Sus scrofa: one gene and its partners. The protein of the gene in region 3 interacts with the protein of the main gene of each other region in a biochemical or structural test. Links are inferred from orthologs where the notes say so. Each region holds a gene or a part of one and is shown on either strand. Other genes may lie near its edges. The genes, in order: EIF4EBP3, EIF4G3, EIF4E and IPO8.

Region 1 (7,677 bases), on a different chromosome or scaffold from region 3:
AAATTTTTCAGTGGCACAGAATGGTGAGTTTTTTTCTGTCTGAACTATCTACAGTACATTTGAATTATTGGAAGAGCTCTTAACCCTATCTTCTATACCTTGAGGACAACAGAATGAAATTTTTTATCTCAGGAAAGGAACTAGACAAAAATAAAAAAGAGGAGGAATTTTGAGAAACCTCTAGGAGGATTAGGAAGAAACAGGAGCTGTGTCGTTTACAGCAGTTATTTAGGATACCCTCCTTTCTGCCCCTTTACCAGCACTGCCTCCTTTTCTTTCTATTTGAATCCCAGTAGCCTACTCCCCACTCCATTTTGCCTGCTATAATCTCTTCTTCCTCTGTCTTGCCTCTTCTTGGCATTACTTTACTGCTATTTTACCAACCTGAACCTTGGATTAAACCTAGCTCAGGTAAGAACTCAATTACTTTCAAAATATACAAGGGACTGCGGGTGGGGGGGCAGCATGGTTAGAGGGGAACAAGAGTCAGAAACCTAAATTCTATTTTCCTCTCTGCCACTTGAAGCTATATGACCTCAGCAAATCATTTCTTGTCTCTGGGCTTCACTTTCCTCATCTAAAAAATGAAATTGAATATAAATTGAACTCAAAAGGGTCTCCTAGTTCTAACATGTTTTCTCCTTTGTCTTGTGCATGGTATGGGAATATGGTATGGGAAAAATAGAAGCCAAAAGAATGGTTCACATTGCTGAGGTTTAAGAGCCCCTCCCATTTGTTTTCACATGGAATCAAAAGCCTGCTGTTGTAAGGGCCATTATTGACTTTAGGATTTTAGTGGAAACAGAAGAAAACCTCATGTGCACCCATAGTGAGCCCTCAAGTCATAAAGAAAATCCTGCCGAGGCACAGATAAAACCCCTTGAAAAATAACAGCTCATTCAAGGAATAAAACTGTATCATCAGGGAGTTTCCATTGTGGCTTAGCAGGTTAAGAACCACACTAGTATCCATGAGGATTTGGGTGCAATCCCCTGGCTTTATTCAGTGGGTTAAGGATCCGGCGTTGCCACAAGCTGCAGCATAAGTCACAGATGCTGCTCGGATCCTGTGTTGCTGTGGCTGTGGCATAGGCTCCAGCTGCAGCTCTGATTTGACCCCTAGCCAGGGAACCTCCATATGCTGCAGATGCAGCCCTAAAAAGAAAAAAACAAACAAAGCCTGTGTCATTAAGGTTTCTAGACCCACTTATTTCAAATAGTGTTCAGTGTAATAAAATTTCACCACCAATAAAATCATTGATGTTTTTAAGACCCTTTAGACCTATTGTGGCTACAGTGTGCTGACTTGCCCTTTTATAGGCCAGTCTGCTTCCTTCAGTCCCTGCTCTCAAAGGGGAAATCTCACCACCTCAGCTATCCAGACCGAAGAAGAGAGTTGGACAGCCAATGGTGGCCTCTCCTAACCAGAGGTAAGAAATCTCAGGACTTGGGGAGTTCCTGTCATGGTTCAGTGGTAACGAACCCGACTAGTATTCATGAGGACGCAGGTTCAATCCCTGGCCTTGCTCAGTGGGTTAAGGATCTGGTGTTGCCATGAGCTGTGGTGTAGGTCGCAGATGCAGCTCGGATCTGGCGTTGCTGTGGCTGTGGCGTAGGCTGGAAGCTGCAGCTCAGATTCAACCCCCAGCCTGGGAACCTCCTCATGCTGAGGGTTCAGCCCTAAAAAGACCAAAAAAAAAAAAAAGAAAGAAAGAAAGAAAAGAAAAGAAAAAGAAATCTCAGGACTTGGAAGTACAGCTTCCATCTGTTCTTATAGATTCTGGCCAAATTCTCCTCCCATCCTCAAAATTAGTATATGAGAGGACCATCCTTAGTTTGGGGTAGCTTTCAGAAGGGGAAAGGCTGGTCACATTAGAGTTTCAAGCCAAACAGAGAGGCGTGCTTAGAATGCGTGGTCCTGGCCCCCTGTTTAAGACCTTTGTACCACACCATAGACCCAGGAAGAGGCAAACAAGCTGTGGGAAAACAGCTGCTGAACAGCTTGTTCTCTAACTAGCCTTAGAGCTTTTCTCTTCTACAAAGAAGTGTGGCTGGTCGTGACATCTTCCCAGTGGACCCTGTCCTGGGTGATGTGTGACCATGTGTCAATGTTATTTGACAGGTTACTTTACCTTCACGCTCTGCTGTAGGAAACAGGTGAGAGAAAAGTGGTTTTAAGTGTGTTAAGACCGCCTTCAATAAAAGGCAGGAGCTTAAGCTTAAAAACCTAATTTGGAAAACAAGCTCATGAATCTGATCATCAGATTGCAAATGTATTTTGTGATTACATTTCACCTCTTTCTCTTTCATCTTGATGGTACTGGTGGCAGAGACCTGGTTTTCCCTTACAGGTTCAATCAGACCTTTGGGGTTGGGAGCTGCGCGAACTTTTTTTTTTTTTTTTTTTTTTTAAGCTCCCATACTCTAATGAGCAGTCACTGTCAAACAACCCTCTGGTTTAAACTCCTGGTCCTTCATCTGGGTTGAATGGACATGAATCTGGCTTTCTCTCTAAAGCCAACTACCTATTCTCTAGTTCCCCAGCCCTTACGGCACACAGTGTCTCAAGAAAAGTAAGCTTCCAATAGAAGGCTTATAGTAATAGTAACTGCTGCTGTTGTTTCATAGTAGCGGTTAAGAGAAGAGAGACCTCACTTCCACACTGATCCTTCTGGAAAAGCTTCGTCACTTCTCTCCTAGTTCTGTTCTCACTGGTGTTTCTCAGTCTCTTTTGGTAAAATCCTCTTTCTCCACTCTTCCTTAAATAAATGTTGATGTGCCCAGGCCTCTTCTTTTGGTGTATCTTCTCCCCGGGTAATCTCTTCCCCTGCTCTTGGATTTCACTCCACCCAAATCTGAACCCCTAGCCCAGACTTCTCCCTCCGTAGCTTCAGACCTGTATCATTAGGTTGTACCAAGCCTCTCAAGTCAAGTCTGGGAATGATCCTAGCTGACAGGATGTTAATCAAGCACCTTATCCTTCCCCCTCTGTGTATCAGGGAGTTTGCACCTTCATTCTCATTGTCCTCCATCCCATCCCCCATACCCCCTCACTAGACTACTTACCTTGCTTAAAAGTTGAGTTAGCAGGAGTTCCCATTGAAGCTTTGCAAGTTACAAACCTGACTGGTATCCATGGGGATTCAGGTTCGATTCCCTGCCTCACACAGTGAGCCACAAGCTGAGGTATAGGTCACAGACATGGCTCAGATCTGGCATTGCTGTGGCTATGGCGTAGGCCAGCAGCTGCAGCTCCAATTAAACCCCTAGCCTGGGAACTTCCACATGCTGTGGGTTCGACCCTAAAAAAAAAAAAGAGAGAGAGAGAGAGTTGAGTTGGCAGGAGTTTTCTAGTGGCACGGCAGGTTAAGAATCCATGTTTTCACTGGGATGGATGGGTTGCTGCTGTGGCACAGGCTTGATCCCTGGCCCAGGAACTTCCATGTGCTGTGGGCACAGCCAAAAGAAAAACAAGGTTGGCAGAGTTTCCCGGTGGCCGGCATTGTCACTGCTGTGGTTCAGGTTGCTGCTGTGGCTCTGGTTCAGTCCCTAGCCTGGGAACTTCTGCATGCCAAGGGTGAGGCCAAAAAAAAAGGTTGAGTTGTCATAGATAGTTCCTCACCATCTGATCCCAAGCCTTACCTTCCAGTATTGCTTAGACACTTCATTTAGGCACACACCACTTTGTAAGAGGCTCAAGTCCTTTTTGGAACAATAAAATATCCATGTCCTTGCTACCTGATTCTAAGGACCTGCAGACCTAAGGGCTGCATCACCTGGGATTTTATGAAAAACCCAGAATCTCAAGTCCCACCTACTGTGTCAGAATCCTCATTTTAACAAGATCTTTAGGTAATTCATGTGCATGTTAAAATTTGAGAAGCACTGATTTGTAAAATCCAGTCTTTTTTTGAGGAGGCCAAATATCAGACAACTGGATCAAGTTGAGGCTTTTAGTGTATATAAATACTAGACTTCGTACTTACTTTCCCACCACCTCTCCTGCCTCTTTTCATACCACTATGCCTACATCGAAAAGTCTTCTCTTTAAAGGCCAGGTTCTCTGACGTTACTTTTCAGCGAGCTAAAGACCAATCCCTCCTCCCCAGGCCCCTCCATCCCGTATAGGCTTTATTCATCCTTTCATCAGTCCAGAAAGGCCACCCTCCCTCCCGGGGCTTCCCTTTGTGCCAGGCACCAGGCCATGGGGCCCTCTGCACCCTGTGGGATGGCTGATTAATGGGAGGCAGCACACAGCTAAGCTGAAGGGCATACGCTCGAACCAGATACGATCAAGTCTGAATCCCAGCTCACCCTCCTAGTAGACTTTGAAACTTCTCTGGGCTTTGGTTTTCTCACTTGCAAAACGAGGCTCATAGCAGTGCTTTACTGTTTAAAGCAGTGGGTGAATGAACACGAAAACACAGAGCGCCCTCTGCAAATGGTGAAGAGCTGAGTGGCTGCAGTGCTGCTAGGCAGGCGGGCCAGGGTTGGGCCAGGAGAAACTGAAGGCCAGTGCGAGCTCTGGGCCTCCTTCCCACCGAGCTTGGGGCTTGCTCCCGCCAGAGGAGGGCGGCCCCAAGGGGCTGAGTGACAGCTGCCCCGCCCCGGGCGTGACGTCCCGGTGTTGCTGCAGCCGCACGTGGTCGACTGAGTCCGCCTCAGACTGCTCAGCGCTCCACGTCCTCAGCACCAGCCGCTTGGCTTCCTGCTCGTCTGGCTCACTATGTCCACATCCACCAGCCGCCCGATCCCCGGAGGCCGGGACGGGCTGCCTGACTGCTACAGCAGCACGCCGGGGGGCACGCTATACGCCACGACCCCGGGAGGTCAGCGGGCGGGGCCGGGGTCTGCAGGCAGCGGGCAGGCTGGCGTGTGCGTGTCTCGCGATGTGGGTGGGGGGTTGCAGGCCTGAACTTGTCCGCGGGCCCCTCTACAAGCTTTGCTCCCCGGGACGGGGCCGGGGGTGTTGCTTGGAGCTGAAGCCCATTTCCCTAAAACTTCAAAGTGATGCAAAACCGCCTTGAGCCTAGTTTCTGGGTGACTCTGGGCAGAAACATCCCTGTGGACTGGGTTCCGAGTTCCCTGCTCACCTGCCAGTCCTAACTTTGCTGCCTGGGAGCAGAGGCCCCAACTGCGTGCAGCAGGAAGCAGTCAGGTCATGCAAAGCTGCTAGAGCAGGACTTTGGCAGTCGGGGGCAGGGGCTTCAGGCCTTGGTGCTGGGGGACTTGCTTGTGGCTGATTGGCCTGGAGCAGCCTGGGATCACGCCTTCTCTGGAGTTCCTGCCACGCGGAAGCAAAGGGGAGGGGTGAGAACAGGATAGGGCCCTTTGAGGACATGATTCAGGCCAAGTTCCTCTAGGCTGGGCTGAGCCTGATAGGACTTGGGAGGGGTCAGGATAAGAACAGCGTGTCCCTGTTTCAAAGGAGCGGCACTGCTCCTCCCAGCAGGGGATCCACAAGCCCAGGGGGCAGCGCGAGCCCTCACATCTGCTGTTTGGCTTCCTGGTCCACCTGAGATAAGAAGGCTAGGCGAACCAAAGCAGTAAAGTTCCAGAGTCAACAGCAGGACAGAAGTAGCCTGAAGTACCTGAGATCAAGTCGGGTGCTCCCAGAACGGAGGCCTCAGGCTCCGGTAAACCAAAAGCCCCTGCCTAGACCAGCTGGGATGCCCCCTTGCCCTCTGGTGCCTAGACACATACTGCTTAGTGCAGTAGACCTTTACCAAATAGGATTTTCTAAAGATCTTGGTCCCTAAAAGGCCTGTCTGCAGTTCCAGACAGCTCTGTACCCAAACGCCTGCCTCTCAACCGCCCTTACCCCTTGACAGGCACCAGGATCATCTACGACCGAAAGTTCCTGTTGGAATGCAAGAACTCACCCATTGCCCGGACACCCCCCTGCTGCCTCCCTCAGATTCCCGGGGTCACAACTCTTCCAACAGCCCCATCCTCCAAGCTAGAGGAGCTGAAGGGGCAGAAGGAGACAGAGGAAGAGATACCCGGTAAGGAAAACAGGCCCTCAAATTAAGAAATGGCTTTAAGTCACATGCCCCAGTTAAATGGAGTGGGGGCTCAGTTCTGAGCAGGCCTCTTGCACTGACAGGGAGCCTGCAGACCCCCAGCCCAGCACCCAGTCTTCCTGCCTTTTCTCTCTCCAGATGATGCACAGTTTGAGATGGACATCTAATCCAGTGCAGATGGCCGTGTGTGGAGTCGGAAGAACCCCTCATGCTGCTGCCGCTACCTCCTTTCTTCCGGGGTATCCAGAGGCCAGATGGCCTCATCTCATCCGGAAGGGGGTGACTTCTTGGTTCTGGGCCTCCCTTAGTTCTGAGGCAGCTAGACTAGGGATGAGGAGTGGGCAACCTGCCAGGCCCTTAGCTCAACTTTCTCTTTGGTCTGTAGGCTCTCATCCTAACCTCTGGCCCTTGGCTCAGGCTGGGACTGGGGGGTGGAGAATGTCACTTTCTGACTGCTTAGTAAACATTCAAAGAAATGCCTTGGCTCCACTGTTCTCCTCAATGTTGACCTTCCCATCTCAGACATGAAGCTGAGGGCCCCAGCAAACCTGCTTAGGCTCAGAGCTCCCAGGTCCCTTCCCAGCCCTCACTGGGCCCACTTCCAGCCATGATTAGAGCCTGAGAAGGCTTTGGGGGCAAGCCATAGGAGCCACCAAATCATCAACAGCAGTAGCCTGACCCCTGCCAAGGGGCTGTCCCAGTCTTTTCAGGAAGCAGCCTTCTTGGAATCAGGCCTCCGGAGCAGTACCCCTCCCTCCCTATTCCAAAGCAGGAAAAGAGGTACTGTCCCCAGCCTATAGCATTCAGTGGTCTCTCCCAGACCTCTGCCTCCCACCTGTAAGCAGTCTCCCTTTTCACAGTAGGACAGGACCCTCCTGGCCCCTTCCACCTCGTCCCGTTGTCCTTGCAAAGTTAGAAAGCAGGGCCCAAACTGAGGCCGCAGCTTATCTGGTGAGTCAGATAGAGCCATGGGGGGAAAAAAATCACGATCCCCTATCTCAGCAATCTGGTCTTTCAAACCTTCAACTTACAAAGCTATGTGATCTCTGCAGCATTTGCATACCTCAAGGGTAATGAAATAGAAACAGGGCAGTCTCTTTTTTTTTTTTTTTTTTTTTTTTTAAATCTTTAGGGCCCTGCCTGTGGCATTTGGAAGTTCCCTAGGCCAAGGGTTGAATTGGAGCCACAGCTGCCAGCCTACATCACAGCCACAGCAACACCAGATCCAAATGAAGTTTGCAGGAGTTCTTGTCGTGGCTCAGTGGTTAACAAATCCAACCAGGAACCATGAGGTTGCAGGTTCAATCCCTGGCCTCACTCAGTGGGTTCGGGATCTGGCATAGCCACGAGCTGTGGTGTAGATCACAGACGCAGCTCGAGTCCTGCATTGCTGTGGCTCTGGCGTAGGCTGGTGGCTACAGCTCTGATTAGGCCCCTAGCCTGGGAACCTAACTCAGTGAGTGAGGCCAGGGATTGAACCTGCATCCTCACAGGCACTATGTCTGGCTCCTAACCTGATTAGCCACAAGAGAACTCCCAATCTCCTTTTAAAAGAAAAATCTCCCCATGTTATTTGAGCCTGTTCTCTTGCTGAGACAAAATCATCCATAGGGTTATTCAGCCCAGCAAGGGATGTGCGCTCCCATCCATTTGGG
Region 2 (7,480 bases), on a different chromosome or scaffold from region 3:
AACTGACTTGCTTATTCCTTGTTTCTATGACACGATATCCCAGTACTTCTTCCTCTCAACTGGTTCTTCATCTGTCACTTTTTTAAGAATTCTTTTCTTCCTTTAGTTATCTGTGGACACCTGTGGATTAGGCTTTCATGTTTTTTCCCTCTCAATCTAGCTAAATAGTAAATGAAAGTAATTACCTGAAAGGGCACTGTGCTAGGGACTAAGGTGAGGAAGGTAAGCATGGTGTCCTACAAAATGGAAAAGTACACTTTTTTTCCTGAAGGAGTCATCTCTCAGAGTTTCACTATGAGCTGTATAACGTCTGTGATAAGCAACAGCTAATGGTTCTTGAGTATTTACAAGGTGCCAGTTGCTCCACTGAACACTCTACCTATTTTACCTCATTTAATCCTCATGCAAATCCTAGGGGCTATTGTGAGATCCATTTTACAGACTAAATGACTTGTGCAAGGTCATACAGCTAGTATGCAGGAGAGCTGAAACGCAAACCAAGACAGTCTGGCTCCAGAGTCTATGCTCTCCATGCTACCGGAGTATGACCCTCATCACTTAACTGCACGACAGACAAAACAAGCATTCCCATCTGGACATCATCTCGACATAAACAGGCTTAAAAGAAAAATAATCATTTCCTCTCTGATAAAGGCTTCCTCTTTCAACATTCCTAAACTTAGTCAACACACTTTCCATTTTCTCAGGTGTAAAGTATCTTCTATTTCATCTTTCCCGTTTTTTTCTTCCTTTTTATTCTTCTATGACTAAATCTTACCTCCTTCCGCACAGGATCTGAGGCAACAGCAACAGCAACATTTCTGAGTTCAGTTTACCCCTTGGTTCATCATGTGAAGAGCAACAGACTGGTTTTATGTACACACCTCTAGCATAACATTATTCCTTTGCTCAGAAACATAAAATGGCTCTTTAATGGCAAATCAAGCCAAAAGTTTCTAAGCTGGTTCCATTCTTTCAGAAAAAACATTTTTCCATTCCTTATGAACACTTAAATTTTACTCTAATCAGGCTTATTTATTATTTTAATTCCATGACTAGAATTTTTCCTTCCCTTCCAAATACCAATACCTGGATCAACTGCCCCTTCCTCAAATAAGAATTTCGTCCAGCTTTCTATCTCTCGTCTTCTGAAATTTAACGGCCTTAGTGGAGAATACATTTCATAATTCATCTTCCAGTTGCTTGAAACGTTCCCTCTATTAGTTCTGACTTGTCAGATAAACCGGAAGCTGTTAGAGGGAAGGAACTACATCTTCTACTTCTTTTTCTCTCTCTCACCAATACTGAGTATACAGAAAATGCTCAACAAAGTCTTGTTGATTACTGCCTTTGATGTGGTCAAAGAAATCATGTTTAGTTCCTATACTCTCTGCTTTTACTCCTAACCAGTCTCCAGGTGAAGCTGCTTCACTTACCAACTGCCTCTCTATTCTGCGGGTTCAATCTATCTGTCTCTTAAACTCCCAAGTTCTCTAATGCCTGGTGGACTCCATCCCTCACCTGGTCTTCTCTTCTCTTTGGTCATGAGCTGCTGGACCTTCCTTTGCTCTTCTTGTTCTTCTATTTTAGCCTCTTTGTGAATCTGTTCAATAGTTTTAGGCCCTTGATCTGCTCTTCGAGATACCCAATTACACTACAAAAGGAAAAAATAAGATTATCAGCCAGATAACTAAGAAGAAAAAGGAAACATTTGAAAACCTATCTTATACTTTCCACTGCTGGAAAAGTATAAGATACATACAAAATCTGGTACTATGGCAGTTTTTCATCCGTCTTACACATTGGCACATGGGGTGCAGTCTGGGTGTTAGAGATGAAGAATTCAATTTTTCTCAATCAACCTGAGCTACTGTATACTGAGTCTTCCAACAGCTGATGGATAACAACACAGAGTGAGGGACTTGACCCAACTGGGTGTGTGCGTATTAAAATCATTTTGCACTTTTGAAAGGAGTAGAGGGAAGAGGAAACAAGAAAGATCAGGGGAGCTCCCGTCATGGCTCAGCAGAAACTAATCTGACCTGAACCATGAGGTTGCGGGTTCGATCCCTGGCCTCGCTCAGTGGGTTAAGGATCTGGTATTGCTGTCAGCTGTTGTTTGGTCACAGATGTGGCTCGGATCTGGTATTGCTGTGGCTGTGGCACAGGCTGGTGGTTACAGCTCCAATTCGACCCCTAGCCTGGGAATCTACATATGCTTCGGGTGAGGGCCTAGGCCCACCCCCCAAAAAAGATCAGGATTCCTCGGCCTTGACTTAGTCTGGTGTAAGGCCACTCAGTTCACAGCAAACTCCACTGCAGTTCTAAATCAAGGATGACTAGCACTTTTTGTCCTCCTATATGAAGGTTCTGGTTTCTATACAGAGTGCCACACCCTCTACCCTTTAGTCATCCTCTCTATTGAGGACAAAACAGGCTGTCTCCTTATAGTTATACTTCTCCCTTTCCTTCCCTACCCAGCTGTAATCTCCACATCTGATATAAATACAAGTGGGTGAAGGCATGGGTGGTGGTGGAGAAGTTTTTAATATTTATTAATATTAGCTTGAGGCAAGAATAGCAGATAGCTTTAAATCAGCATTTAAATTCAGATCAGCTGGCAGTGGTGGTATTAAGAAGAAGGATCCTGAGTCACACCTCAGCTTAGCAATATAAAGAACCATCATCATACTGTCTGTCTGGGTGCAGGGCAGGGAATAGGTGGGACCTAATTTCACTTTCTCTAGCTGAGGGTCAGCTGCAGCATTCCTATGGCAGTTAAAACAGGAAAAGGGAAAAGAGGTGGTAGTGGTATATAAACCGTACCTGGTATGAGAAATGAGAAAAAAAAAAAAAAAAAGGCAGTAGAACAAGAGGGTATACAAGAAAAACATTAAAAAAGAAAACATCTTTTGAGTTGGGTACTTTACATAATTATCTCACTGAATCTTTATATCATATCTCCAGAGTAAGCAACATCCCCATTTTATTATTTTTTTGTCTTTTGTCTTTTTAGGGCCACACCCGCGGCATATGGAGGTTCCCAGGCTAGGGGTCTAATCAGAGCTGTTGCCGCTGGCCTACACCAGAGCCACAGCAACACCAGAGCCAAGCCACGTCTGTGACCTATACCACAGCTCACAGCAACACCCAATCCTTAACCCACTGAGCGAGGCCAGGGATCGAACCCGAAACCTCATGGGTCCTAGTCGGATTCGTTTCTGCTGCGCCAAGACAGGAACAACAACACCCCCTTTTTAAAGACTAAAATGTAAGGCTCAGGGAAGTTAAATGTATTCATTGTGAAGATGAGGCTCCTTGATTAGCTCTTTAAGACTAATTTTATTGACCACAGTTTGAATTCAGAATGGCTGATTTCAAAACTGCAATGTGGTTTGATAATCAGAATAAAGAGGAGAAACAAGGAGTTCCCGTCGTGGCGCAGTGGTTAACGAATCCGACTAGGAACCATGAGGTTGCGGGTTTGGTCCCTGCCCTTGCTCAGTGGGTTAATGATCCGGCGTTGCCGTGAGCTGTGGTGTAGGTTGCAGACGCGGCTCAGATCCCGCGTTGCTGTGGCTCTGGCATAGGCCGGTGGCTACAGCTCCAATTAGACCCCTAGCCCAGGAACCTCCATATGCTGCGGGAACGGCCCAAGAAATAGCAAAAAGACAAAAAAAACAAAAACAAAAAAACAAAAGGAGAAACAAGTAACAGACAGGTAGGTATGTATGCCCTTGGTCCTCTCACACAGCTCTCTCATGAAAATTTGCCATCTCAAGTTCTGAGAGTCATGCAGCAAAAGCATTAAGTTATCACACATGTGTGCAGGCAGTTTCCATGGTGGCTCAGGGGTAAGGAATACAACTAGCACCAATGATGACGTGAGTTCTACCCCTGGCCTCACTCAGTGGGTTAAGGATCTGGCATTACTGTGAGCTGTGGTGTAGGTTGCAGATGCAGCTGGGATCCCATGTTGCTGTGACTGTGGCTGTGGTTGTGGCTGGTAGCTGTAGCTCTGATTCAACCCCTAGCCGGGGAATTTCCACGTGCCGCATGTACGGTCCTAAAGAAAAAAAAAGTTATTATACATGTAATTACTAGGACATTCCTCATAGCCAACTTATGAAAAAGAGACGAGAGTGGTAGGCTTATTTTTCTACTTACCAGCCTTAGGTCTATCACATCCTGAAGCATGAATCGAATCCTAGATGAGGTTTTTCTTTCTTTCACAATTTTCTCCATCTGATTAAAATATTGGTCCATACGTGGCTGAAAGAGCAAAATCATTAGTATTCCTGGCTGAGGAATTCGAATGTAGATTTACCATGTAGAATATTATTTTATTACTATTTTTGCTTTTTAGGGCCATACCTGAGGCATATGGCAATTCCCAGGCTAAGGGCTGAATCAGAGTTGCAGCTGCCAGCCTATGCCACAGCCACAGCAATGCCAGATCTGAGCCGTGTCTACAACCCACACCACAGCTCACAGCAATGCTAGATCCTTAACCCACTGAACAAGGCCAGGGAATGAACCTGCATCTTCATGGATGCTAGTCAGGTTTGTTTCCACTGAGCTACAAATTCCTCATGCAGAACTTTAAAAGGACCTAGGAGTACAACTTAGAGTCAAAAGGCAACGTGATGGAATTTTTAATTGAACGTGGCATCCAAAATAAAGGCTACATATTCTAGGCACCTGGCCATGGGCATGTGACTAATTCTAGGTCCAACAGAATATAAATGGAAATGTCATACTGTACCTCCCTGGAATCTTAAGAGAGGGGTGACTATGTCCTTTGCCCCTTTCCAACATTCTCTACTGTGAGATGAGGAAGGACAAGGGCTACACCTTAGGGATGACTGAATTTAAGCTGGAGGAACTGATATTTAGCCATCAGACCAGCCTCAGACTTATCTGTGAAATTCATTTACGAGAGTGAAAAATAAACCTCAATCTTATATAAAACATTGATATTTGTGGTTTTCTTTCACAGCCAAACATAATCCTAGTGGATTTTGATGTTAGGAAGCATTTGTGACATTTCTTTGATGGATTTCTAACTTCCCTACCCCTTATTTGGGGAGTACCATGTTATGTTTGAATTATATTATTTTTAATGATTTCTTTTTTTTGGCTGTGGCAGGTGGAAGTTCCCAGGCCAGGAATCACACCCAAGCCATAGCAGTGACCCAATCTGATCTAGTGACAATGCCAGCTTCCCAACGCACTGCGCCATAAGAGAACTCTAGTGATTTATTATAGTTTTATACGTCTGTCATTAACTAGAGCATAAACTTAAGAAGGCTACCTGGGAGTTCCTGTTGTGGCTCAGTGGTAATGAATGTGACTAGTACCCATGAGGATGCATGTTCGACCCCTGGCCTCAATCGGTGGGTTAAGGATCTGGCATTGCCATGAGCTGTGGTGTAGGTTACAGATGAAGCTTGGATCCCATGTTGCTGTGGCTGTGCTGTAGGCTGACAGCTACAGCTCCGAATGGACCCTTAGCCTGGGAACTTCCATATACTTCAGATGCGGCCCCAAACAGACCAAAAAAAAAAAAGCTACTGGGTCTTCTTCATTTCTTTCTCATTCTCGGTCCTGGCCCTTAGTAGCTTTTCTCTCCAGAATTTCTGCCAACTTACTCTACCTATACATACAAAATGATATGTGAGATAGTCATGCAGAAAAAGGACAAGGGACAGATACTCTGAACCATTTGTGAACTGGCTTTTACACAATTTGGGGCCCTCTTCACGTCTGACTTTACTGAAGATATGGTAGAAGCATGATGGCCCAACACTGACAGTGAGAAGGATGAAAGAAGACAAACAGGAGGCTGAGACGGCGGGGGAAATAGGGACACTGCTGCTGACAGTCTCCTTCTTCTGCAACTGACAGAGTCCCTGCTGGAGGTTTCTGGGATTTGGGGTTTTCACCTTGGCTTTCTCAAAGTCCAGGTCTTTGCCAATTGTGGTGAGTAGGCGACACAGGCACTCGAGGGATTCTTCATCATGGTTCTTTAGCAGCTTTACCACACAGTCATGCATGATGGCTTCAGTCAGCATTTTCAGTTTGAAGAGCTCCCCAATAAACTTGATGTTACCAATGGATCTCCGCCGGGCTTTATCCTTAGCTTCTTCCAGTTCATCATGAAGCCTTGTCCTCTCCTCTGGCTGTTGCATAAGGAAGAGTAACAGAATCTTGATGATAAAAACAGTATGCAAAATAAAGGCTAAAAACACGCATAGAGAGTCATGGTCTCTACCTTTCCAGGCATCAGGGACACACTCTGAGATTATGACAGCAGCTACAGGCCTACTCAGAAAATGAAATACACCCAAAAGTCTGCACCTATTTCAGGCGATTTCTCGAATTCAGTGACCTCTCTGAAATCTAGGTTCTGAATCCCTAACTTAAAAGGTTGAGTTGCTCTAACATGTGGCACTAAAAGGAACAAAGCTGCCTCTAAACATCAATAAAGTTATTTCCACATGAAGAAAAGGCCACAGGCACCTGCTGAAGTAGTAAGAAGATGTTGTAAGAAGCTTTGTGAAAAATCTATTTAATAACACTGTCTTTCTGTGAAAATACTTACAGCACTGGCAGCCTCGAGTTCTTTCTGCTTCTTTTCGAAGACATCATCATCAGCTTTATCTTTTTCAAACTCCTTCTGGCAACGGTTCAGTAGCAGCTTCCGGAAATTCACTGTGTTACCAGGCTTGTCTGCCATGGGTACTTTCAGCTGCATCCAGATGGGAAAACGCAAAAGCAGCAAGATTACTTAAAGAAATTCAATGATTTTCTCAAAATACCTATTTTCTTTATTGTGCAAAATAATGCTGACTGAACTACAGGTAAGCACTCTGTAAGAGGTATGAAATATAGCTTCAGGAATTTCATGTTTCAATGGTTAAGATGTTTTAAGTTTTATACAGAAAAGATAAACGTTGTATAAATGTACTGTATCCTCTACAGCTGATTATGCCTCTAGATGCCTTTGAATGTAATATTATTACAACTATGATTTGTACTCTCTAGACTTTTTTAAAACTGAAGGGTTATTACTTTTATTTTTCTTACTACCAGTGTAGGCACTTTGGTTTAAAGGAATAAATGAAAATAAAATAAAGTATGGGGGAATTTCATGACCCTAGGAAAACTGTTGGAGGTGAGATCTTTATTGTGGAAAAAAGCACAAAGGGGAGGAGTTCCTGTCATAGCTCAGTGGTTAACGAACCCAACTAGTACCTATGCAGACGCAGGTTTGATCCCTGGCCTCGCTCAGTGAGTTAAGGATCTGGTGTTGCCGTGAGCTGTGGTGTAGGTCACAGACACAGCTTGGATCCGGCGTTGCTATGGCTGTGGCGTAGGCTGGTGGCTGCAGCTCCAATTGGACCCCTAGTCTGGGAGCCTCCATGTGCCATGGATATGTCCCTAAAAAGACAAAGAAAAGAAAAAAAAAAAGCACAAG
Region 3 (7,480 bases):
CACTGGAGTTCCCGTTGTGGCTCAGAAGAAGCAAAACCGATTAGGATCCATGAGGATGTGGGTTTTATACCTGGCTCCACTCAAAGGGTTAAGGATCTGGTGTTGCTGTAAGCTGTGGTGTATGCCAGCAGCTGCAGCTCTGGTTCAACCCCTAGCCTGGGAACTTCCTAATGCCACAGGTGCAGCCCCCAAAAAAAGTGAAAGGAAAAAAAAAGAGAGAGAGACATGCATACTGAGGTTTTAGGAAAATACAAACCAACTTTTAACACTATTCTGGGGTGTAGATAAAAACAAAATGGGGAAGAAGAGATAAGAGGAAAGCAGAACTTTTACTTTATATACCTTGTACCCCAATGATTTAATCCTTCCTGTAATAATTACAGGGTTTTTAAAAAGAAAACATAATATATTCTGCAGTATTTACAAAAAATAATGATGACAAAACTACCAAAATCTGAACCAATAATATCTTTGAATGGTTTTCCAAATATTAAAGAAATAAAATTTATAGAGAAAACTGAAATCCTCATAGACTTCATTTCAGGATTTAATCAGTTTGTTCACTGAAGAAGACACCTTTCAGGAATCTCTTGTCAAAATTCATTTAATTTATGAGGAGTATACATGCCTTGATTACTTCTCCCCACAATAACAACACTAAGAACTGTGTTCACAATCAGAAGACACAGCTTTTTAAATGATAATGAAAAAAACGAAAAAAAAAAAAAAAAACTTTAAAGGGTTTGGTACTGCTATTAGGTTGAACTGTATGAAACTGCCACTAATCAACTGTTCAACTTACTACTTCTGGCACAATGCTTTCCTGAAGCAGTATTTTTTTTTTTATCCTTTATGGACTATTGGACCTTTGATAACTTACTCACTAGCTGACAATTCCTATTGTTTAGAAAATAGATCTGCAGAACCATGGGTCTTCTACGAAAAAACTACTTACACATTTTTGTACTATTAGTTCAGTAAGTCTACCATGATAGTGAAGAAATGATTTAAAAAAAAAATATATATATATATATGGGCCATAAAGGGACAACACATTTTTCAGATAAATTAAACCAAGTATATACAGACTTGTGGGTGTTTTTTGTTTTGTTTTGTTTTTTGTTTTTTGGACTGTACTTGCGGCGTACGGAAGTTCCCAGGCTAAGGGTCAAATTGGACTTACAGTTGCTGGCCTACACCACAGCCATAGAAATGAGGGATTCGAGTGGCATCTGTGACCTTCACCACAGCTCACGGCAACACCAGATCCCCGACCCACTGAGCAAGGCCGGGGACTGAACCCACATCCTCATAGATACTAGTTGGGTTTGTTTCCACTGCATCACAAACGGAACTCCAGACTTGTGGGATCTTACGTAAAGAGAGTAAAAGGCCTGGTGGTGGGGAGGAAATGAAAGGAGCTGTAGTACTTAAGAAGCCTCAGAAGTTAATTCCAATTTACTTTCCTCCAGATTCTTACAATGTTTCTGAGTTGCCATTTTCTTTCCACCATCAGCTCTCAGTGACTTCAGTTAATTTTCATTACATAAACCAGAAAGAAAATTAAATAAAAACACATACTGGGAAGTGGCAGGGTGGAGACAGAGAAAACCATATACTGAACTATATTACAATGTAACTATGAAAATTTACCTCACCTTAAACTCTCTTTTCTTCTCTTAACTTCTCTTAAATAAAAACTGACCCACCTCCAGACTCCATAGCTCTCTTTCCTCCTTCACAGGCTAACCTGAAACCATCTATTCCTGCTGTAAACATTAGTATACTTTCTATTCACTCTTCAAAGTACTCCAATCTTATTCCACCTACTAAACTTTCTCCAACACTAGCAAGGATTTGGCCTTCAATCCAATGAATATTTGACTCTTTTGTGGCACTGAAGTTATTGACCATCTTTTCCTTAAAAAAAAAAAATAATTTTCCTGACCAGCACACTCTGTCCTACTTTATACAGTTTATATGTCTATACCCTTTATAGGCATTTTTGCTCAAAAAAACCCCTATGTGGGAGTTCCCATCATGGCTCAGTGGTTAACAAATCCGACTAGGAACCATGAGGTTGTGGGTTCAATCCCTGGCCTTGCTCAGTGGGTTAAGGATCTGGCATTGCCATGAGCTGTGGTGTAGGTTGCAGACATGGCTCGGATCTGGCGTTGCTGTGGCTGTGGTGTAGGCCGGTGGCTACAGCTCCTATTAGACCCCTAGCTTGGGAACCTCCACATGCCTCGGGTTAGTTAAAAGAAAAGACAGAAAGACAGAAGGAAAAAAAAACAAAAAAAAAAAACCCTATGTGGAGTTCCCCTTGTGGCTCAGTGCGTTAAGGATCCAGCCTTGTCATCAATGTGGCTCTGGTCACAATTGTGGCTCAGGTTTGATCCCTGGCCTGAGAACTTCCACGTGCTGTGGGTGCAGCCAAACTGCCCCCCCACCCGCCGATGTGCTAATATTCTAAGCCTCCGTTGTGAGTCAAGTTCACTTAAGAGAACTTATTTACTACTGTGGTTTCAGTTACCAATAACCAGTGAATTTCAAACCAATACTTCAAAGTCCTACTTTCTGAGCTCAAGATTCACAAATAAAACTACTTGGTAAACATGGGTCATCCAAATGAAAATGGAATCGACCTATCTAAAACTATTCTCATCTAATCTTTCCCTCCAAACCTGTCCCATTCACCATTTACTTTGTTGCCTAAGTCAGAAAACCTACTTGTCAAAAAACTTACCTGTTTTGTAAAGGATGTTTAATATAGTGTTCTGGGTTAGCAACCTCCTGATTAGATTCTGTTTTCTCTTCTTCTGTAGGCGGGGGATTAGGAGTAGGGGTGGTTTCCTGTTGGAAAATAATTAAACATTATAAATTTTTTAACGTGAATAAATTTCTTAATTTATATGACAGCAATAACTCTAAATAAATTTGAACCAATATTGTCCATATCATTTTTTTAAGGAGAAGGAATTACAGCAAAAGCTTTTGATTAAACAGACAATCTCTAAAGAAAGCATTACTAAAAAGACAAAAAAAAAAAAAGGCACCAGACCATTCTGGCATCTCTCCACTGAGATGCAAAGAGTTTAGTTTCTCTAATTCAAAAATATAATGATAGTATTTTTCATATACTGTTATCTTCTTACACATTTTAATATCAGAAAAATTGTGATAGGAGTTCCCGTCGTGGCTCAGTGGTTAATGAATCCCACTAGGAACCAGGAGGTTGTAGGTTCGATCCCTGGCCTTGCTCAGTGGGTTAGCGATCCGGTGTTGCCGTTGAGCTAGCTGTGGCGTGGGTCAAAGACTCGGCTCGGATCCCGCATGGCTGTGGCTCTGGAGTAGGCCGGTGGCTACAGCTCTGATTAGACCCCTAGCCTGGGAACCTCCATAGGCCGCGGGAGCAGCCCAAGAAAATGGCAAAAAGACAAAAAATAAATAAATAAATAAAAAGATTGTGAGAGACCATGCAAAAAAGTTGGGAAAATCAGGTATCTTTCTTAACATACAATTAAAGTGCTATGCATGCTTTCTGGGGAGGGGGTTTAAGTTTGGAAGTGCAACTAATTATATTACAATGACTTAAAAAAAAAAAAAAAAACTTTATCAAGCCAGTACTACACAGGTCCTTGCCTTCATGTTATACCGTTATGACACATGGTAACTTAAAAGTTCAGCAACTTCTTTCTCAATTTGCCCTAAGGAAAAAAGCTAGACATTGGCTTGAACTTAAATCTTCTTCTAGGTTACACATAATACTGTCATCTAAAAATGTCAAGAAAAAAAAGAAACGTGGGAATAAGACATGTTCTCCACATCACTCCACGTAGTTCTTTAACCTATTTTAAGCTGGTATCAACAAAAAGGTGGTTAAGAAAAGGGCTGAAACAAAAGCTGATACAAAAAACGGGGGCACTGCAACAAGGGTGTGGATATCAGATTCAAATCAAGCCAGCAAAACAATAGATACACTGTCACATTAACAACACTAAGCAAATCAGAGATGTATAATCTAAAAACAGCCCTCAGGGAGTTCCCGTCAGGGCTCAATGGTTAACGTATCCGACTAGGAACCATGAGCTTCGGGTTCAATCCCTGGCCTCAATCAGTGGATTAAGGATTTGGGGTTGCCATGAGCTGTGGTGTAGATCGCAGACGGGGCTCGGATCCCGAGTTGCTGTGGCTCTGGTGTAGTCTGGCGGCTACAGCTCCAATTGGACGCCTAGCCTGGGAACCTCCATATACCACAGGTGTGGCCCTAGAAAAAGACAAAAAAATAAATAAATAAATAAAAAGAAGAAAATAAAAAAAGACCTCAAACAAAAACAAAAGACCTCAGAGAAGACACATTTTATAAAATACATTTTTCTTATCAACAAGACACTTCCAGGAACTACTTTTTCACTATCCTATAAAGTCAGTCATAGCAGGGGCTTTATCTTGATTTTGCTCACAATTGTAATGTCAATGATCACAATGCTACACTCAACAGAAACTTAACTGAATAAACTTAAATGTTTACTGAAGACTAGTTAAGGCCCTAAAATTTACATATAGTAGTAGCCAATGCCTTAAAATTAGCAACCATTTGTACAAGCATTTTCTCATCACAATTTAAGTCTTCAAGTAGATGGTCATTACCAAATAGCATTCCTTACTCTACTAGCTTAAAATTAATGATGGTCTCCACACAGAGGCAGTCTGAATGAATAGAGACAATAAGGAACAGTAAGGGACTGACAAGGCAGGTGGATTTGGGGAACAGGGTCCCAGAGAAAAGTAAACTGTAGAGAGAAATTCAAAAACACATGGGGGGGTAAAAAAAAACCCCACAAATCCTTGGCTGTGACTTAGTCCTAAACTGAGATGTTCAGAGTGCAATTCTGGGTGGTCTACCAGAGAACAGCTAAGCCAAGATTTCAGAGGATGAACAGCATTAGGAAGACCAAGTTCAGACCTAGCCAGAGTGGATGGTTGAAAATCCTCAGGTTTCAGATGAAATCCTAGAAAGGTCATGTCCTAGGAATTAGGTGAAATACACATACCTAACAGATTCTAAAACTAATCCTTGGCAGGATCAAGGCAATCTATTGCTAACTGTCTTCAAGAACAAAACTCTACACTCTTCAGAGGAAAAACATAATCCTGAGGCTCTATGAATATTATTCGTAAGACCTAACAAACAATCAAATTACTAGACATGCAAATAATGTTTTGTTTTGTTTTGTTTTTACCAGCAACTAATGATGAAGAGATTAGGAGTTCCTTGATGGCCTAGCAGTTAATAATCTGGCATTGTCACTACTATGGTGTAGGTTTGATCCCTGGCCAGGAACTTCCCACAACATGGGTTCAGCCAAGAAAAAAATATATATATCACTTCCAAAGGAACAATAAGAATAACTGGTAGCGTCTCAACAGAAATTTTGGAAGCCACAAGACAACAGAATAACATCTCAATGCTGAAAGAAAAAACTGTCAACTTAGAATTAAGTGCCTAGGAAAAGTTATTCTCCAGAAATAGAGAAATAAGGAAACATTTGCACAACACCAGAAAGTCCAAAAAGAGGAACACTAAAGAAAGTCTCAGGTTAGAGGGAAAAGCTCCCGGATGAAAGCATGGAAGTACAAAAAGAATGAAAAGCGCAGGAAAAGTTAAGAAATACTGCCAATTCTCTTATTTAACTAAAAGACATACTCATAAGCTCAAGATTCTCATGGCAAACTACTCTTTCACAGCATTTGTTTACATCTTTACCTCAGCAGCACATAAAAAACAGCTCCTGCATACTGCCCCCCGAGTACAAATTTTCTCAGGTCATATATTGCTATGGCCATCTACTTATTGCAACAATCCATTCTTAATCAGTAGAAATTGTACACCAAAAAGTTTACCATCAATCATTCACTCTGTATGCATCTTAATTCTGCAATTATGTTGTAAATATACAAAATATATTTTTAAAAATTCACAAAGGAAATTTTTTGAGACTATTGACAAAGGCCTCATTACAAAATCATTTCGGTAATTTCTCTCAACTTATTATTAAAACCTCTTGACTCTGATACAAATAATCAAGATGCTTTCTTCATTATTTTCAACTTAGATAAAGCAAAAGTAATAGCCATGTAGGATGTTCTTTTAAACTCTCAGGTTAATCCATGGCAGTTGGCTATTCTATAGGTAAATTCCAATCCCTTATCTTTGGAATTTATGGTAACATACAATGAGAAGTACTTTCCCGAAAGATGGCCATGATGCATTAAATTTTTCGATCAAAAATGACCTTTTAGGGAGTTCCTCTCGTGGCTCATTGGCAACAAGCCCAACTAGTATCTACGAGGACTCAAGTTCCATCCCTGGCCTCGCTCAGTGGGTTAAGGATCCAGCACTGCCATGAGATGTGGTATAGGTCGCAGACGCAACTCGGATCTGGTGTTGCTACGGCTAGAGTGTAGGCAGGCAGTAGGCTGGCAACTGCAGCTCTAATTACACCCCTAGCCTGGGAATTTCCACATGCCTCAAGTGCAGCCCTTAAAAAAAAGAAAAGATGTTAATTATGGACATACGCCAAGTAAGAATGAAGAAGTATACTTTTATTTTTATTTATTTATTTTTTGTCCTTTTGCCATTTTCTGGGCCGCTCTCACAGCCTATGGAGGTTCCCAGGCTAGGGGTCGAATCGGAGCTGTAGCCACCTGCAGAATCCGAGCCGCATCTGCGACCAACACCACAGCTCAGGGCAACGCCGGATCGCTAACCCACTGAGCAAGGCCAAGGATCAAACCCGCAACCTCATGGTTCCTAGCTGGATTCATTAACCACTGCGCCACGACGGGAACTCCAGAAGTATATTTTTAAAAGAACCGTAACAAAAATATTTTCAGGTCATTCCTCAGTTAATCAGTTAAGCATATACCTCAATTAACTGTAACAAATCCCCAAATTATTCATTACTTGTCCTAATTGGCTAAGCACTTGTTTTTTTTTTTTTTTTTTTTTTTTTGGCTGCACCTACAGCATGTGAAAGTTCCCAGGCCAGGAGTTGCACCTGCACATGGCACCAACCCAAGCCACTGCAGTGACAACGCTAGATCCTTAATCCACTGTACCACAGAGGAACTCCAGCTAAGTACTTCTAATGTAAGCTGGATGTCTCCTCTTAAAATTCTTTCTAAGGCTATTGACTACTGAGGTATCTAAGACAGGATCACCAGAAAATAGGTTCAGGAGGATTATGTGGTAATTGCAGCACCAACTTAATGAAATTTTCCCTGAAAACCCCTAACAGATGTTTTCACGGGATGTTTAAAATGGATTCAGTCAGGGAGTTCCCGTGGTGGCTCAGCACTAACAAACCCAACTAGTATCCATGAGGATGTGGGTTTGATTCCTGGCCTTGCTCAGTGGGTTAAGTATCCAACATTGCCATGAGCTGTTGCGTACATTACACACATGGCTCAGATCCTG
Region 4 (7,480 bases), on a different chromosome or scaffold from region 3:
TTCCCCGTGAAGAATATTGCTACAGTAGCATATAGCATAATACCAAATGGTTTACAATAATGAATTTTTAATTTTTTTTTAGGTTTTTAGCACATACATGTTGAGAGAAAAAAAAATTTAGATCTTATTCTCTTAGCAAACCAAATAGAGGTAGAGGCTTTAAGAAAACCATTTCATAAGCCTCTAACTTCCTCATCCTGGCTATGCTTATCCCAACAGGAAAGAGAACTCTGGCCTTTGAATAAATAGGGTATTGGAGTTCCCGTCGTGGTGCAGTGGTTAACGAATCTGACTAGGAACCATGAGGTTGCGGGTTCGGTCCTTGCCCTTGCTCAGTGGGTTAATGATCCGGCGTTGCCGTGAGCTGTGGTGTAGGTTGCAGACGCGGCTCGGATCCCGCGTTGCTGTGGATCTGGCGTAGGCCAGTAGCTACAGCTCCGATTAGACCCCTAGCCTGGGAACCTCCATATGCCGCGGGAGCGGCCCAAAGAAATAGCAAAAAAAAGACAAAAAAAAAAAAAAACTGAATAAATAGGGTATTACTATATCTAATGGCAAAAGATATCACTGAATAAAAAATGGTACAACCACTATGGAGATACCTTAGAAATCTATACACAGAACTACCATATGACACAGTAATCCCACTCTTGGGCATATATCCGGACAAAACTTTCCTTAAAAAAGACACATGAACCCGTATGTTCATTGCAGCTCTATTCACAATAGCCAAGACATGGAAACAACCCAAATGTCCATCAACAGACGACTGGATTAGGAAGATGTGGTATATATACACAATGGACTACTACTCAGCCACCAAAAAGAATGAAATAATGCCATTTGCAGCAACATGGATGGAGACTCTCATACTGAGTGAAGTAAGTCAGAAAGAGAAAGACAAATACCATATGATATCACTTACATCTGGTATCTAATATAAGGCACAAATGACTCTTTCCACAGAAAAAAAAATCATGGACTTGCAGAATAGATTTGTGGTTGCCAAGGGGTAGGGAGTGGGGTGGTTGGGGAGATTGGGGTTAAGAGATACAAACTATTGCCTTTGGAATGGATTAGCGATGAGATCCTGCTGTGTAGCACTGGGAACTATGTCTAGTCACTTATGATGGAGCATGATAATTGCAAAAATACAATGTGTACATGCATGTGTAACTGGGTCACCATGCTGTACAGCAGAAAAAAAAAACTGTATTGAGGAAATAACCATTTAAAAAATAATAATAACAACAACAACAAAAACATCTGCCTCAAAGTGATTTCCCTAAGGAAGATTTTTTTAAAGGGGGCTCTCTTCTTTACTTTCCCATTTACCTATAATCGTAACTAATCTATAGGCAGAATGCTATGGACAAATTAGTCAAATTACCAGTTTTTAGCGCAGCTGACTACCTTGTTTCTTCCATACTCAGACTTCAGATACTGGAACGAAAGGGAAACAAACACTGAATCTCAGCTCTGCCACTCAGTTAACTCGGACAATTAAGCTGACTTCTGCAAGCCTCTTCTCTCACAAGGATTTTTTTTTTTTTTTTAATATAGTGAGAATATATAATGTGCAATTTTTAACAATAACAGACACTTACTGAGAACTTTCTATGTGTCAGGCAGAAATACAAGCACCATAGTCATCTTCTGCTATAGAAACTTACCTGAACAAGTGCATAAAAGATTTTCAGGATCTGCTTCTGTAGTAAAACAGAATAATGTGAGGAATCAGGAAGGAGCTGCATGATTTGTTGCTGAATACGAGGCAGAAATATTTGCATTGCTGCTATAAGAGGTTCTCTTTCCTCTGCTTTCTTATATCTACACAAGCAAAGACAAAAAGAGAGAAAAATAATTTCTCCCCACAAAAGAGCTATAAACAATGAATGAAAAACAATACTTTCTAAACTACATAAAGCTAATAAAACAATAACATACGAAACACAGACTTATATTTTCTACTTGGATTGTTAGAATAAACATGAAAAGAACTTTGAGAAAGCACATCCCTATTTTAAGCAGAATACCTAAAATCCTTCCAGAAAGAAACTAGTTTAAAAAAAAAATCCAAGACAGCTTTGCAACTTTCCTATATGAATTTTTTAGTACTGAAATTAGTTTTCATCATATCACAATCCTTCCTATACAAGTTGAATGTCAGTTTAAAAAGACATTCCTATTATATAACATATAATACGGGGGGAAACATTGATTCATCCACTCTCCTACATTGAGATGTTAAAACAGTATACAAATTTAGGTGCTCTTAGATCACTTTAACTAGGTATCCATCTAAAATAGTCTCTAAAAATTCTTTTAAAAGGAAGACTATCGACTGCAGGAAAACAATCCCCTTAGATACTAGAAAGCAATGCTATTAAATGCAACACTAGTCCCACACCTCCCAAACAACTTTTACAGAAAAGAAAGTCACCAACAGAGAAACTTAAACATTGTTTACCTTGCATCCAAAAAAGTAAATGTTTGTTTTACTTAACAATATGCTCACTTAAAGACAAATGTTAAGGTACCTCTCCATCAGTTTCCAAGGAAAGCTGAGACTAACAAATAAATTTGAGAAGGACTACCTTAGAGATTAGTACATTAGCAGATTAAATAGTCTTTGAAAAACTGTAGAAAATAAACATGTTTAACTGTATTTACCAAACTAACATCATTCTGCAGAATAATCATAGCAGACCCCTCTATGCAATGTAATTCTTTCCAAGTAACACATGGCTGGTATCTTCAACCAACAGAAATCAACTTACTCATACGTCTTCACCAGTTGATACAGACATAATAAACTGCCAAGCCAGCTTCCACTGCTCTGTGATTGCAAGTAATAGTCTATCTTGTCGACTACCGCTGGCCAATGACCAGGGAAATCGTATTTAATGATGGCACGGAGACACATTGTTAACTGGACTCTATAAGGTGGGGGGGAAAAAGTCCAAAATCTAAGTAGTTATAAATATCAGGCTTCAAAGACCTCTAATATTTTACATAAAAACACTCTGATTCCCATTTACCTACATTATATAGTTATCTATCTAGGGTTGGAAGGAAAAGAGTAATCCTATCAAGAAAAACCTCCTCAGGAATTCCCGTCATGGCTCAGCAGTAACAAACCCGACTAATATCCATGAGGACATGGGTTCTATCCCTGGCCTTGCTCAGTGGGTTAGGGGATCCAGCATTGTCATGAGCTATGGTGTAGGTTGCAGACACAGCTTGGATATGGTGTTGCTGTGGCTGTGATGTACGCTGGCAGATGCAGCTCTGATTGGACCCAAGCTAGAAACTTCCATATGCCACAGGTGTGCCCCTCCCCCCTAAAAAAAGAAAGAAAAACTGCCCCAGTAGCTCAAACTCACTGAAAGAAAACAAACACCAAGGTTGACTGCCTAAAATGAATGACATCTTTCAAATGATAATATCCTAAATACAACTTTGCTTTAAAAAAAGAGAATTTAAAAGTAAATTCATAAAACTTTTTCAAAAAACAGTGGATCCACCCCAGCTCTATAAAATTTCCCAGCTTATTATATTTTGTATTTTGGTTATCATAGCCTAAGAAGAAAACAAAACTAAAAACGTTTTATCACTTCAACTAAAAACGGTCAAAGAAAGTAAAATGGAGGCCCACATCACAGCAAGAAGCACCTCTGTGAGGCCAAGGCTTGAACCATTCATTGTCAGTTCCCAGCCATACAGGATACTACACCTACCAGAGATTCCTCAGATACTAATTTCTATAAGTTGGGTATAAATAATAAGCATTAGCTGGCAATTATTGAAGAGGAAAGCTAAGAGTTTTTCCCCAAGAATTAAAGAAAAAAGCAAGAGGGCAGACATAAAACAGAAAAAAAAAAAAAAAGGCATCTCTTTAATAAAATTACAAAGTTAAGTGATAAAAAAAGATGTGATCACATAATGCATCAGGTCAGGCATCATTCTTCAACTGGATCCCAATTTTAACTGGGATTGAAAAGAAAGTGAAGGCAAAAAATTTCTCTTCTACAAATTATCAGTATATCCTTACATGGTCACTTGCAAATGGTAAGAAAGTAAATCCACAGTGAGAAGAAAAAGGTATGTGTTCAGTTGAATAACTTGAATTCACTGAAATGAAACAAATAATCCTTTTTCCTTATGTTATAAATCAATTTGCAAAAGATCCTTTGTAATACTCTTCTATAAACTTTCAGAATATTTCTTCCAGAGTGGTTAGAGTTAGCCTTCAAGACGTAAGAAAGGCAAAGCTACAAAGAATATCACAATAAAGATATCCTCTTGTGCCACCAGCAACTGTTCCTAAACAACCAGTAGATAATATCTGTATTCAATAAAACTGAAACTTTTCATTCATTTAATCTCATCTTCAGATTAACCCTCTTAATCCTTTCTCATTCCAAGACAAGCAAAGGACAACTGTGAACAGCCATCCTTTCATGTATTACTGTGTAGAAGCATTGCCTACAAGATTCAGAGAGATCTGAAATGCAAAGACTTTGACAAGAAATGGATATCTGGTGGTACCATAGGGAAGCCAGTGCCAGAATGGATGTGGGCAACCAGTGAGAATAAGGATGCTTTTCTTTCACCAGGACATCAATTTTTTCCTCTTAACAAAACAACTGCACAAAGAGGAGTTCCATATTTGTCCTCTTTCCTCACTGTCCCTCTCATACTTCCTTTTCTTTCCTCTGCTTAGGGCATATGTGTATTACACACTCACAGACAAAGATACATCTAAGTTCTTGAAACTAAATAATTTTATTTCCATACCTCGGTTTCTATTATTTCCCTCCTCCATTTTCAAAAGAAACCTAATCACTTGCTCATGTTGAAAAGAATTTGTTTCTCCTATTTTAAAATTGCATTATTCTTCTGACTTCACAGCTTTGCTGTCCAATAGGGGAGCCACTAGCTATGTGCGCACACTGTCACTTAGTCAAAATTAAATTAAAAGTGTAGTCCCGGAGTTCCCGTCGTGGCGCAGTGGTTAACGAATCCGACTAGGAACCATGAGGTTGCGGGTTCGGTCCCTGCCCTTGCTCAGTGGGTTAATGATCCGGCGTTGCCGTGAGCTGTGGTGTAGGTTGCAGGCGCGGCTCGGATCCTGCGTTGCTGTGGCTCTGGCGTGGGCCGGTGGCTACAGCTCCGATTGGACCCCTAGCCTGGGAACCTCCATATGCCGCGGAAGCGGCCCAAAGAAATAGCAAAAAAAAAAAAAAAAAAAAAAAGTGTAGTCCCTCAGGAGTTTCCTCGTGGCTTAGCAGATTAAGGATCCGGCATTGTCACTGCTGTGGCTCAGGTTTGATCCCTGGCCCAGGAACTTCAGCATGCCAAGAGTGCAGCCAGAAAAAAAAAAAAAAAAAAAAAAAAAAAAAAAAAAAAATTAGTTCCTCAGTGACACTAGACACATTTCAAGTACTCAGTTGGCTTTTAGGCCACGTGGCTAAGTATCAGGTAGTGCGGACAGAGATTTCCACCACTGCAGAAAGCTCTAATGGACAGTACTGTGCTACAGCTGCTAATCTAAATTTGGAAAACAAGAGATAATTCTTCTAATTTATACTTTCTCCTCAAAGAAAAAGATACTCAGTTCATAAAAATGAATTAAAAAATAGGTAAAGTGTTACAAAAAGTGGTAGGTTAAAATTCCGAGAAGTCATTTTCCCTGTATCTGGGGAAAGAGAAGCAAATGGTAAAAATCTAAAGGTCATAACTAAGTACATTAGTTATCAATGTAGTAGGGATCTATACAACGATTTTCGTTCCATTTGATTTTTGCTGTAACACTTTTTGTGGCAACTTACAGCAAGTACATCTTTTCTAAACTATTTTAAGACAAAGAATTATAAATGCAAAAAAAAAACAACTAACTAAAACTGTATTATCTGAGTGCCCATCTTCATGACTTTGTATCTTTAACAAAACAAACTTGAGGCCTATGATTAAATCCAACCTCCCTCATTGATATATTTTGTGGCCCTACTAATCAGATAGATATAGTATAATGTACCTCACTAAATCTGGAGACCGAATTATTCCTTCTACAATATTATCACGTATTTGCTGGCGATCATTTTCATGAATGTTGAATGGAAATATTGCTTCTCCTGGTGGAGGTTCTCGGTCCGGCCAGTATTGTGTCACCATGTTCTTCAAGTAAATGGCAGCTAAATGAGAGAAAAAAAAAAAAAATGCTAATGTAGCAGTATTGAAAAAATGGCTTTCATTCAGATTTACAGAGCATGAAAGGCTAAACCCTTCAATGCTAAACATGATACCTAGCAAAAATGGAAAATCTTCCAGTTATAAATAGCCAAGTGGGGAAAGAAATATACATATAAATTTGAAGTTTCTCTTTCGCTAGTAAAGTAAGTCGAAGCAGAAAACATCGTATTAAATCAAGAGTTTATATACAGAAAAATGATCTAGAACTCAAGTATGTATCTTTAGACTAAATACATGATGATCTAAACGAAACTCTACTAACTGCAAACTGCACTTTGAGATCATGAGTCATACTATTTATAAGGCCTAATACTGAAAAACAAAAATTATTTGAGAGAGAGAGAATTAGTTAGTTTGGGGTTTTGTCTTTTTTTATATCAGATCAAACAGGTTCTAGACTAAGTATCATCTTTTACTTCAGTATTTTTATTATATACTAGTCACTGGTAATAAAAACACATAAACTGTTGAAAAAATGAATAAATGATCTAAGAATATGGTCCAACCTGTCAGCACTTCTGACTAATTTCATGAAATTAATCTTTGCAAAAAGAAAAATCATATTATACACCAAACCATTTTAATCCCTACAGAACTAGTCTTATAAATAAAAATAAGTGTGAAAAATAGTGTGATTTCTGTTTTATGGTTAGTTGTCTTCTTTTTGTTCTGTCTGTTTTGTTTTTTCAGGCAGCAAAGATACAGACAAGATAAAAATCATGGACTTAACTCATAATTCAGTCATCAAATGCTGTTAATTTTATAACTAAAAAAATATTTTTATTATGGGACACCATATCAGATGGCCTATATAAAAGGCACACTACAAATTTGTATGTGTTGAAATAAACCGCTGATTAGTTAAAGCTGAAATGAATAACTTGAAAAGAAAATATTAATTACTCTTATGGATAACCATAGATTACCAAGAATAAAGGAAAAATACCAAAAATAATTTAAACTCTACCAATAATCTAAAATCTTCCTTCAATCATTTAACTCAAGTATCTAACCATTTGCCAGAGCTAAGAAAGAAAACAGAAATTTTTGTCTCCATTCATAAAGAAATTAAGTATTCAAATTTGCTTTTCTGCAAAATTCACTTACAATTTCAAACATCTTAGTTTGAAACTGACTTTAAAACACACACACACTTCTCTCCTTCTCAAACTCACCTAAGCTCTATCCTCTGGACCCAGAGCCACCCTACACAGGGCAACTGGGT

What was found.
Region 1: the proteins of EIF4E (region 3) and EIF4EBP3 form a complex in vitro, tested with the Homo sapiens proteins (2 studies listed by IntAct, with this or other methods). The link is inferred for Sus scrofa from reciprocal best matches to the Homo sapiens genes EIF4E and EIF4EBP3.
Region 2: the proteins of EIF4E (region 3) and EIF4G3 form a complex in vitro, tested with the Homo sapiens proteins (3 studies listed by BioGRID and IntAct, with this or other methods). The link is inferred for Sus scrofa from reciprocal best matches to the Homo sapiens genes EIF4E and EIF4G3.
Region 4: the proteins of EIF4E (region 3) and IPO8 form a complex in vitro, tested with the Homo sapiens proteins (2 studies listed by BioGRID and IntAct, with this or other methods). The link is inferred for Sus scrofa from reciprocal best matches to the Homo sapiens genes EIF4E and IPO8.

What each region holds. Positions count from the first base shown.
Region 1 is NC_010444.4:142,299,222-142,306,898, forward strand, and holds EIF4EBP3 (eukaryotic translation initiation factor 4E-binding protein 3), read left to right. Parts: upstream 1-4,659; 5' UTR 4,660-4,725; coding exon 4,726-4,828; intron 4,829-5,830; coding exon 5,831-6,004; intron 6,005-6,160; coding exon 6,161-6,189; 3' UTR 6,190-6,498; downstream 6,499-7,677. UniProt on the Homo sapiens protein: Repressor of translation initiation that regulates EIF4E activity by preventing its assembly into the eIF4F complex: the hypophosphorylated form competes with EIF4G1/EIF4G3 and strongly binds to EIF4E, leading to repression of translation.
Region 2 is NC_010448.4:79,069,116-79,076,595, forward strand, and holds part of EIF4G3 (eukaryotic translation initiation factor 4 gamma 3), read right to left. Parts: intron 6,752-7,480; coding exon 6,605-6,751; intron 6,183-6,604; coding exon 5,946-6,182; intron 4,273-5,945; coding exon 4,168-4,272; intron 1,655-4,167; coding exon 1,522-1,654; intron 1-1,521. UniProt on the Homo sapiens protein: Component of the protein complex eIF4F, which is involved in the recognition of the mRNA cap, ATP-dependent unwinding of 5'-terminal secondary structure and recruitment of mRNA to the ribosome. Functional homolog of EIF4G1.
Region 3 is NC_010450.4:121,435,909-121,443,388, reverse strand, and holds part of EIF4E (eukaryotic translation initiation factor 4E), read right to left. Parts: intron 2,854-7,480; coding exon 2,747-2,853; intron 1-2,746. UniProt on the Homo sapiens protein: Acts in the cytoplasm to initiate and regulate protein synthesis and is required in the nucleus for export of a subset of mRNAs from the nucleus to the cytoplasm which promotes processes such as RNA capping, processing and splicing.
Region 4 is NC_010447.5:43,110,801-43,118,280, reverse strand, and holds part of IPO8 (importin-8), read right to left. Parts: intron 6,198-7,480; coding exon 6,041-6,197; intron 2,940-6,040; coding exon 2,781-2,939; intron 1,831-2,780; coding exon 1,674-1,830; intron 1-1,673. UniProt on the Homo sapiens protein: Involved in nuclear protein import, either by acting as autonomous nuclear transport receptor or as an adapter-like protein in association with the importin-beta subunit KPNB1.